Cricetulus griseus: one gene and its partners. The protein of the gene in region 2 purifies or fractionates together with the protein of the main gene of each other region. This does not show direct contact. Links are inferred from orthologs where the notes say so. Each region holds a gene or a part of one and is shown on either strand. Other genes may lie near its edges.

Region 1 (4,199 bases), on a different chromosome or scaffold from region 2:
CAAAACCTTCAGTTATTATCCTGGGATGAAGACCCTATAATCAAAACAGTTACAAAACCACTGCCAACATTTGCATCTTCAACAAGATGCAACAATTCACTAAGTCCAGTAACATTTGAAGGGACACCCTAAGTGACCCATACCTAATACAATTAAGCTAACATGATGTGCTGATTTTCTGAATACATTTAAAAGGACACAGTACTCCTTTCAATGCAGAGGAAACGAACAGACTTTACTCTAGCACAGAGTCAAGGCCAAGGGAACCACAGACAAAGCACACTTGGGTGTTCACTGTGCAAACCAGAATACCAAACCCAAAACTAGCTCCTAAAGTTCTGCTGTCAGCAAATGCTTATCCTGTCTGCAGTTAGTTCACATTATTTTGAAATATTATTAAAAACAAAACAAAACAAAAAACCAGAGACTAGGCCAGGTATGGAGCAGAACCAGCTAGATCTCTCTGAGTTTGAGACAAGTCCGTTAAATATAAATATATTATCATTTATATATAGTTGACACCGGACCATGATAAAGACAAGCACAGGCTCCCAGATTTAAGCAGCTTGACCTTACAGTTGTGGTGTGCTCTCAGGGAGTATTGCATCAATTTGCACCAAGAGCCCACCAAAAATACCACAGAAACAATTTTATCATGCATACCTCAGAAATGTAGAGATCTGCCTGTTTTAGCAGCTCCCCAATGATAAGGACATTGGATGTAGTACCATCACCAGTTATGTCATCCTGGGCTGTAGCTACTTTTGCTATTAAAGAAGCTGTTGGGTGTTGAATTTGCTAAAAGTAGAAAAAAAAGAACTGTTTAAATGACTTAAACCATTACCTAAGGTAAAATGTAAGACAGGCTCCTTTTAAAGCCATCCACGTAAAGTGTCCAGCTTGGCTACATTTTGCTTGGATTTTTAAGTCATTTTCTTTTCTGGGATTTAAACTGCTGGACCTGAAAGTTCTGGTAAACAAATGGATGCTTGGACCAATTTCATTTAACCCTTGGGACAAAATAACAACATATAGAATATATAGTTAGCCAGGTGTGACGGTGTACAGTTTTAACCGCAGCATTTAGGAGGCAGAAGCAGGTTATCTATGATGCAAGAAAAGCTTCATTTCTCCAGTGGTTTGGTAGGAATATGAGGGTTTTTGTTTTTCTTTCCCAATTGCCCTGTTTTTGAAACAGCATCTCACTATGTAGCCCTGCCTGGCTATGATTTTTGTTTTGTTTTTTCTTAAAAAAAAAAAAAAAGATTTTATTTATTATGTATACAACATTCTGCTTCCATGTATAGCTGCACACCAGAAGAGGGCACCAGATCTCATAACGGATGGTTGTGAGCCATCATGTGGTTGCTGGGAATTGAACTCAGGACCTCTGGAAGTGCTCTTAACCTCTGAGCCATCTCTCCAGCCCTGTTTTTGGTTTTTCAAGAGAGGGTTTCTCTATGTAACAGCACTGGCTGTCCTGGAACTTGCTTTGTAGGTCAGGCTGGCCTTGAACCACCTGGCTCACCTCCATCGTGCTAGGACTAAAGCATACTACCACCACCACCACCCAGACTACAAAAAAAAGGCCCCCTCCCCAAGCAGAGTTCTTCATCCAGTACACTATTTTCTACATTTCTGTTTCAAAGATATGAGCCACCTCAATAATGAACATGCCAACACTAGCAAAACTACAGGAGGTCAAGCTTTTCTTATTTTTATTTTTTAACGTAGCACGGCAACCTCTTACCATTTCGTGAAGCAGCACATTGCCATCTTTAGTAAGCTTGATGTCTCCAGCACCAGAAACAAGCCTGTCAAATGGGCAGAAACTGATGAGCAACATGTAACGTTTTTTCAATGGAAACCCAATTAAGAATTCCATAAAGAAGTCAAAGGGAAGGGCATATTTCTTTCTTTCTCTCTTATTTGTGTTTTTTGGGGAAGGGGGTGGTTTGAGACAGGGTTTCTCTGTAGCTTTGGAGCCTGTCCTGGCACTCACTCTGTAGACCAGGCTGGCCTCGAACTCACAGAGATACACCTGCCTCTGCCTCCAGAGTGCTGGGACTAAAGGCGTGTGCCACCACTGCCCGGCTTCTCTCTCTCTCTCTTTTTGAGACAAGTGAATCTCTGTAAGTTCGAGGCAGCTCAGAGCAGATCAGTCAGAGCCCAAATAAATACATAATGAAAAGCCCACAAGGAGACAATGGGATATATGACATGAAAGCAAGCGTCTTTTGGGACGCGGGTACAAGGGGAAAAAGGCATAGGTAGTAAGAGCAGAGTAAAATAAAGCGCTGCGGCCCAGTGAACTTCATCAATTTGCCAACTATAAGGTAAAAAAAAATAAAACCCATAAAATTTGGTTACAACTACATCCTAGTAAGCTCGGGGTCACGGGGCTGGGTAGAGGAAAGGTGCACACGCCACCCTCTCCCTCCAAAGGAAGTGGGTGCGCCTGGCAATCCCAAAAGGAGTGAACTGGGCGGTTTGGTTGGGAGGCTGCACAGACATCGTAGAAAGCCAAGGCCTGGAGGCGGCGGCTCGAGTTTGCGGCCATGGGCCCGCCAGGCCCGCCCTCCCGCCATCCCGGCCTTACATCTTCATGGTGCCCTTCGGCCCCAAGTTGGTCCTCAGTACATCCTGCAGGCCCCGTGCCGCGCTGATGTTCACGGCCAACGCTGCCTGCGCCCGGGCCACCTCGGCTTTAGGGTTTAGGCTCTTCACCGCCGCCATGGCCGGCCGAGCTCAGGGAGAGGCCGAGAACAACGTGCTCTATGCGGGTCTTCTCGAAAAGTCTTACGCACCCGGCCCGCCCCCAGCGTGCCTCCAGCGCACCTCCATTGGACTGCGGCTCCGCTGCTGCTCGATGATTGGCTCAGTCAGACGCTAGTCTCTCGAGGCTCCGCCCGTCACGCTCAGTTGCGGCGTCATTGCGCATCCGAGAAACTTGTTCTCTGGCAATCGTCACTCCGCATCTTAAGGTTCCGTTTTGGTCGCAGAGGTTGTGTGGCCTGCTGTGTGAGGGATTCTTCGGCCTCAGCACTCGTCTGGGTGTGACAGGAAGCAGAGGCATGGGCTTCGCTTTGCAGCGTGTCTGTAGCTACTGGACTCTGGGTTCCGGGAATGGCCCCCTCACCCTCTCGCGAGGTTTCTTAGACTCATTTTTATCGCTCCTTTTATCCTTAAAAGTAGGAACACAGATAAAGGACGCTTCTCTGGTACTCTGGTGATTTAAATCCGGGAAAGACGAGTATAATGCTAGGTAGAAACTCCTGGATGGCTTTAGGAGCGACGAGATTGGCGCGATGGGCGTTGATGAGACTTAATAGTCTATTCTTAGGGCCCAGGTCACTGAGGCAGATTTGTGGACTCAGGGTTGGTTTGGTTTTTGGTTTTTCGAGTTAGTGTTTTTCTGTGTAGCCTTGGCTGTCCTGGAACTCGCTCTGTAGACCTGGCTGGCCTCAAATCTACAGAGATCTGCCTGCTTCTGCCTCCATAGTGCAGGCTTTAAGGCGTGCACCACCACCACCCGGCTTTTTTATTTTTGTATGTGAAACAAGGTCTCACTCTGGCCCCGGTTAACCTACTCACTGTATAGCCTGGACTGATAGCTAACTCATAGCAATCCTGCTTCAACCTCCAAAGTGGTGTGATCTTGTATGCCTGCTAAAAACTCAAGCTTAGTTGGACAGTGGTGCCCAGCCTTTGAAAGGACTCTAACTTTTTTTAAAAAAATAATTTTTAAACTTTATTTTATGTGCATTGATGTGAAGGTATCAGATCCTTTGAAACTGGAGTTACCAGACAGTTATAAGCTGCCATGTGGGTACTGGGAATTGGACCCGGGTTCTTTGGAAGAACAGCCTGTGGTCTTAACCACTGAACCATATCTCCAGACCCCCTTTAACTTTTTTTTTTTAAAAACAATGTTATGTGTATGTATGTTTTTCCTGCCTGTATGTCTGAGCACTTAGGTATATATATGTGCTCAATTTTTAAGCTTTTACCTGACTTTATAAACATGTATATCAATAGGAATCACTTCTCCACACAGATGACAATTCATAACACCATTGGATATATTATGCTGGTCTATACTGGAGGTTTTGCCATTTTGATTGAAATAAGAAACTCTGATTCTCCTCAACATCTGTCTAATAGTTATTGCAAGAATGAAACAAAGCCAGGCATAGTAG
Region 2 (2,449 bases):
CTCTTGTGTGTAATTACAGTGTGGACCTATAAGATGAGAGAACTGAAGGATTAGTAAAAATGTCTGCAAACTTAAGAGTTGCAATGGAATACTTTATCCGAAAGGTCACAACTTAGGGGTAGGGACGGGGTCTTGTAGTAAGTCTAGTGTGTACAAGGTTCCATCTCCAGGACCGTAGAAAAGTATGGAGGTCAAATTTGGCCTGCTGTTTTGTAACAATTACTAGTCAGAGTAGACCAGTTGAATGGAGCAGGGAGCTCCAATGACCCGAGGTCTGGTGGAATGCTGATTAAATAATGGAATCACCTTGCCAGAATGAATAACACCCTCCTGCCTCTCACCCCCCAACACCACAAACTTAGTGCTTCCTGTGCCAAGCATTATTCTAAGAACTCGTTTAATTTTCAGCCTCAGCTGGGTCACTACTCTGATTTAGTGAGATAGAGAAATTAATTTGTCCCACACGAGAAGGTGGGACCCACCCCCCACCCAGCCTGCCACTACCCAGGGCACTGAAACTTGGTCATCCTGTGTTCCAGTTTAGATGTTTCACACAGATCTGGCAACGTGTGAGGTCTGAATCTGGCTGGCCCTCAGTAACTCCAGCTGATGACAAAGGTGCCCTTGTGGTCTGATCCACAGCAAGGTCACTAGAGCCCGCCTTCCCAGCCTCTAAAGCATGCTATGTGTCTGTTCAGATCTAATGTCCTTTAAAATCAGTTTTAGGGAAGTCTGAGTGACTGAGCATTTCGAAGCCTTTCATAACTACTCTTGGACTCTGGAACTTTATTGGTAGTTAGTCACAGACTCATAAACACCCACTGCAGCTTCTACATAGATGTCTCTCAACATTAAAATGAGCTTTTCTCTTACAGGCTGACCAGTGCACAGGTCTTCAGGGCTTCTTGGTTTTCCACAGCTTTGGTGGGGGAACTGGCTCTGGGTTCACCTCCCTGCTGATGGAGCGGCTCTCTGTCGATTATGGAAAGAAGTCCAAGCTGGAGTTCTCCATCTACCCAGCCCCCCAGGTTTCCACTGCTGTGGTTGAGCCCTACAACTCCATTCTCACCACCCACACCACCCTGGAGCACTCTGATTGTGCCTTCATGGTAGACAACGAGGCCATCTATGACATCTGTCGTAGAAACCTCGACATTGAGCGCCCCACCTACACTAACCTTAACCGCCTCATTAGCCAGATTGTGTCTTCCATCACTGCTTCCCTCAGATTTGATGGAGCCCTGAATGTTGACCTGACAGAATTCCAGACCAACCTGGTACCCTACCCTCGCATCCATTTCCCTCTGGCCACATATGCCCCTGTCATCTCTGCTGAGAAAGCCTACCATGAGCAGCTTACAGTAGCAGAGATCACCAATGCTTGCTTTGAGCCAGCCAACCAGATGGTGAAATGTGACCCTCGCCATGGTAAATACATGGCTTGCTGCCTGCTGTACCGTGGGGATGTGGTTCCCAAAGATGTCAATGCTGCCATTGCTACCATCAAGACCAAGCGTACCATCCAGTTTGTGGACTGGTGTCCCACTGGCTTCAAGGTTGGCATTAATTACCAGCCTCCCACTGTGGTACCTGGTGGAGACCTGGCTAAGGTCCAGAGAGCTGTGTGCATGCTGAGCAACACCACAGCCATCGCTGAGGCCTGGGCTCGCCTAGATCACAAGTTTGATCTGATGTATGCCAAGCGTGCCTTTGTGCACTGGTACGTGGGTGAGGGCATGGAGGAGGGGGAGTTCTCTGAGGCCCGTGAGGACATGGCTGCCCTAGAGAAGGATTATGAGGAAGTTGGGGCAGACAGTGCTGAAGGAGATGATGAGGGTGAAGAATATTAGCCCATGTGCTGCAATTTTACACTTCATTGTCTTGTGTTTGTCTTTGTATGTATATGACTGTCTTACACTATCAATAAAGGTGTTTCCATATTAAGTGGGAAACTGGCTTTTGGTTCAGCTTCTTTTCCCATTCTGCCTCGAGATGGCATCTTGCCATGAATGCTGTCACTGTCCTGATTTGAATCCTATTGATGACCCATTTAGTGGGCCCAATTGAGGCTAGTGATTAGTTGACCATTTTCAAGTACCTTCTAGTGTTCTGTGCTTACTAGTTTGTTTCATTATGCATAAGTCTGATTTAAAACATTTTGTACTTAGACCACAGGTCAGAGTCCCTGTCAGTCGATCTCAAATGCGGTATCGTGTATAGCTATTAATGTGCAGAATGACTGGCTCTGAATTGGAGCAATGCTTTACTAGTTACTAGAGGACTTTTTTTTTTTTTAAGATTTATTTATTGCCAGGCGTTGGTGGCGCATGCCTTTAATCCTGGCACTGGGGAGGCAGAGGCAGGCAGATCTCTGAGTTCCAGGCCAGTGTGGTCTCCAGAGCAAGTGCCAGGATAGGCTCCAAAGCTACACAGAGAAACCCTGTCTTGA
Region 3 (3,934 bases), on a different chromosome or scaffold from region 2:
GAGCTCTTCCACTGAGACACACACACACTCAGGTCTATACTTTAAAAAGAATAATGTTCTTACAGGAAACTACGGAATGCTGAGAATGGAGAAATAGTCTTCTCTAGGGAAGAGCACACCAATTGGTTATTCAGTACCAAATGGTCAGCCTTTAAAATGTACATGTGAGTAACATCCTACACACTGAGCAAACTAACGATATTTAGAAATACGTATGCATATATACACTTATGGATGTAACAACAATCGATGAAAACAGGCCATGAATCTGAAAGGGATGGTTTGGAGGGAGGGAGAAGGAGGGGGAAATGATGGAACTGTATTATAATCTCAAAAATAAGAAGTAATTAAAAAAGACAAAAAACAAACCACCCCATGAAATAAACCTGTCAATTTGGGGGGTACAGTGTGGTTACTGCAGTTCAGCAGCTTAGGAACCCAATGATCTCCTTCTGATAACAATCTCAAACAGGCAAGGGCTTCTAGACTAGCCATCAGTGAACAAACTCCTCAGAAGGAAAAGTATTCTACTCATGGGGTGTCCAGAACCAAGGAAAACCTCACATATAATTCAACTTCGAAACCCAAGGCACACACCCCTATTAACCAAGCCTGAGAACTCTTTCAGCCCCTTCCACCTTTCCCTTGGCAGAGACTTTGTCACCTCAACTAGACGCTCACTATGCCTTTCAATACCCTTCCCACCATTTACTGAACCTTAATGACCTTTCTGAGCCTTCATTTTCTCTTTTGCAACTGGATATGATAAAACAATCATCTCACTGAGTTTTCGTGAAAATAAATGACAATGCAGAACTGGGCGTGGTGGTACACGCCTTCAATTCCAGCACTCCTGGAGGCAGAAGCAGGCCAGTCATGGCTGCACAGTGAGTTCTAGCCTGCCACCTCCACTCCTCCAAAACAGACAATTTAATAAGAATGCACACATGCTTAAACACTTAGAAATATCTTTTCCCATGGAACTACTGTATGTCTTCAATTTGATATGTGGACCCTAAGATTGGTCTGAAAGAGAAGTTTTAATCTCTCTCTTTACATGCCAGCTCCTTGGTTACATGTTTTATCTTGCCTAAGTCTTCCCTCAAGTTTTATTCCTGGGAAAACATTCAACAGTGACAGAGAGTTCAATTCAGAACACCCTGAAAATGAGGAGGGAAGGTCACATGACAGCACACTGCAGTCAGGAGCCAGTGCCAAGGCGATTTCAGGGAGCAGGCCAGAGGGGTTACTTGTTTCTGTTGGTGGGCCTTCCTGAGTGCCGCCAGCCTCTTTTCTTTGAGGAGTTCCAGCTCATCTTCACCGATTTGATCCAGTTTCTGAATTTCAGAGTCCAAGTGACTTTCCACGAGCTTAGCAGCCTGGAGGAACTGGTTCTCTATGACCTCTGAGAACATGTCGATGGATCCATTACCTTCCATTGTTCTAAATCGTCCTGATGCTGGGAGAGTCAAAAACAAAAACAAAAACAAAAACAAGCATTTCATTTACACTTTGGGGGTTTTGTTGTTGTTTAAACACAGGGTCTTGGTAACAGGGCTTGAGACAGTATCACAGTAGAAGTCATTTAGTCATTCTGAGACCTTAGAACCTAGCATGTAGGCCCCAACACCTGCTGAAACCGGGATAAAGACCCAGTCCATCAAAGACCTGGTCCACAGTTCCAGGACCCAGGGAAGTCTCTAATTGTACTAACTTCCTTTATGGCTTCTGTAAATTTTAGCCATTTTTTTTCATGGACATTGCCATAAGGAGTTTCATTCCTATACTTCCTCAGAAATACCCTAACGAAAAACAGCTATACAGGAGGTAGGTTTATTCGAATTGGAGGCCAGGAAAAGTGAGACAGGAACAGAAGACACTGCGTCCAATCATAAGCATAGAGAAACGAACACCTGCATGCCTGCGTCCAGCCTCCTCTCTACACCTAATCTAGGTTTACCAATTCGGGGAACAGAACGGTGCTGCACAGATGGGCAGGTCTCCTTGCTTTAATTAAAGCAATCAAAACCATCCTCACTCCCCACTAGCCAGGCCCACGGTCCAAGCCGATCTCACAGACGTCTCAGAAACACCACAAAAATCATCTCACAGACAAAATTATCCCCGCAGGAGAAATATATAAGAATATAAGGCTCGGAGCTGGAGAGATGGCTCAGACAGAGGTTAAGAGCACCGACTGCTCTTGCAGAGGTCCTGAGTTCAACTCCCAGCAACCACATGATAGCTCACAACCGTCTGTAATGAGATCTGGTGCCCTCTTCGGATGTGCAGATATACACGGAAGCAGAGTGTTGTATACATAATAGATAAATAAAATATTTTTTAAAAAAAGAATATAAGGCTCTGCACTCGGGATTAAACAAATGACCGGCCACGAAACGAGCTCGTCAGAATGTTGACATTATCTAAGCACAGCATTCGCTTATCCACGGGGGAATCTTTTTACAGGGAACTTTTGCATTGAGGTTCGGAGCTTCACGAGAGCCGCGCTAGGGCAGGCGGTGGTGGTCGCTGCCTTAGACGGGGGCGGAGGGGTCAGGAGATGGATGGCTCAGAGGTTCCCCATAACTTCCTGTTGACTGAACCAGCCCGAGTATTCTTCTTACCGATGAACTAACTCGGGGGCTGACACCTAACAAACTCCTACCCGAAACCCCGACCCCAGGTACCGCTCTGCAGATTCTTGGCCACTCCCTGAGCTCCAGAGACAGGTGGAGGAGTTCCGGGGGGACGATACTCGGCACCACCTGGGGCCTGGGGCGCATGCGTCACAGCCTCCGGCGCACACACCAGGCTGTCCCGGCCGCGCCCTCCCCCCGCCCCGACCCCGCCCGGCCGGGTGTGCAGCCGCGACACGGCCTTCAACCCTGGAAAGCGGCTCCTCCTTTGCGTTACCCGGGCTATCGGTGATGCCTACGAAGGGAGGAAGTTGCAGCTCAAGAATGCCGATCGGGTTCACGCAGGTTTCAGCCTCGCAGCGGTTGTTAAGGGCGAAGGGTCTGCCGGCTCTTCCTTTTCATTGGCTAACGTCCTCTCGCGATGCACGGTGAGACAACCGCGGAAGGGGCGGCTGGCGAGTGACGAAAGCCTCGGAGAGTGCGAATCTCCTCCGCCACCCGGAACTACAAGATTGCAGCCCCACGCTTGTGGGCTAACGACCGGAGGCATGAGCGCTAAGGACGTTGGGAATTGTAGTTTTCCTTGTGCGCAGGCTGCGCGTCCGCACTCGCTGTGCTCCCTCGAAAGGAGCCCGGTCTTGCTCCTGGGCGACCATGGGGCTTCGTTTCCTTTGCGTTTAATGGTTTCTAAAGTTGAAGCGTAGCTCACCACAGTGCACTGTAACTACGTAGCTCACACCAATCACACCGCCCCACACCAGATGGAGAACATTCTTACCGCGTCAGTCTTCCCTCCTGATTTCCTGCAACGCATGGAGTCTTTAGAGCTTGCTCACACGAAGGATTCATATCGTGGGAATGGTCGCTGTACCCTTGAGTCTTTCCCCCTTAATAAATGTGCACAGTGCTGCTAAGTGTACGAAGTGTTATTTTATACACGAGTGTTAGTTACCGAGGGGGACCCCCTTTTTTTTTTCTGGGTGTTACGTTCCCTGGGGAACCCCGGAAGGCTCATCATGGGCTCCTTGCGGTCCCGTAATGGATGAAACTCCCTGCCACTGAGGAAATGCAGGGTTGAGGGAGTTTTCAGTGCCAGTCCCGAGTCGAATGCCAGCCCCGGGGAGGGTGCTGACGTGAGTGGGAAACGAAAAGCCTCATTGTCGACAGGGCTCTAGGTTCTAGAATCCGGGAGCTGCCGGGCGTCGGCGCGCGGCAGTCCCCTGCGGCTAGGGGGCGCTCGGGTTCCCACCTGGCCGGCGGGTCCACTGAAGACGCTCTATCCGAAGCGCCGCTCT

Evidence for each region. The genes of interacting proteins can lie anywhere in the genome.
Region 1: the proteins of Tuba1c (region 2) and Cct6a purify together in Homo sapiens (affinity purification with mass spectrometry; 3 studies listed by BioGRID and IntAct, with this or other methods). This does not show direct contact. The link is inferred for Cricetulus griseus from reciprocal best matches to the Homo sapiens genes TUBA1C and CCT6A.
Region 3: the proteins of Tuba1c (region 2) and Txndc9 purify together in Homo sapiens (co-immunoprecipitation; 3 studies listed by BioGRID and IntAct, counting the BioPlex papers as one, with this or other methods). This does not show direct contact. The link is inferred for Cricetulus griseus from reciprocal best matches to the Homo sapiens genes TUBA1C and TXNDC9.

What each region holds. Positions count from the first base shown.
Region 1 is NC_048597.1:109,109,636-109,113,834, reverse strand, and holds the start of Cct6a (T-complex protein 1 subunit zeta), read right to left. Parts: upstream 2,801-4,199; 5' UTR 2,737-2,800; coding exon 2,600-2,736; intron 1,815-2,599; coding exon 1,751-1,814; intron 799-1,750; coding exon 664-798; intron 303-663; exon of another isoform or gene 164-302; intron 35-163; coding exon 1-34. UniProt on the Homo sapiens protein: Component of the chaperonin-containing T-complex (TRiC), a molecular chaperone complex that assists the folding of actin, tubulin and other proteins upon ATP hydrolysis.
Region 2 is NC_048595.1:395,480,224-395,482,672, forward strand, and holds the end of Tuba1c (tubulin alpha-1C chain), read left to right. Parts: intron 1-875; coding exon 876-1,850; 3' UTR 1,851-1,949; downstream 1,950-2,449. UniProt on the Homo sapiens protein: Tubulin is the major constituent of microtubules, a cylinder consisting of laterally associated linear protofilaments composed of alpha- and beta-tubulin heterodimers.
Region 3 is NW_023276807.1:10,255,642-10,259,575, reverse strand, and holds the start of Txndc9 (thioredoxin domain-containing protein 9), read right to left. Parts: upstream 2,801-3,934; 5' UTR 2,787-2,800; coding exon 2,669-2,786; exon of another isoform or gene 2,628-2,668; intron 1,460-2,627; coding exon 1,251-1,459; intron 1-1,250. UniProt on the Homo sapiens protein: Significantly diminishes the chaperonin TCP1 complex ATPase activity, thus negatively impacts protein folding, including that of actin or tubulin.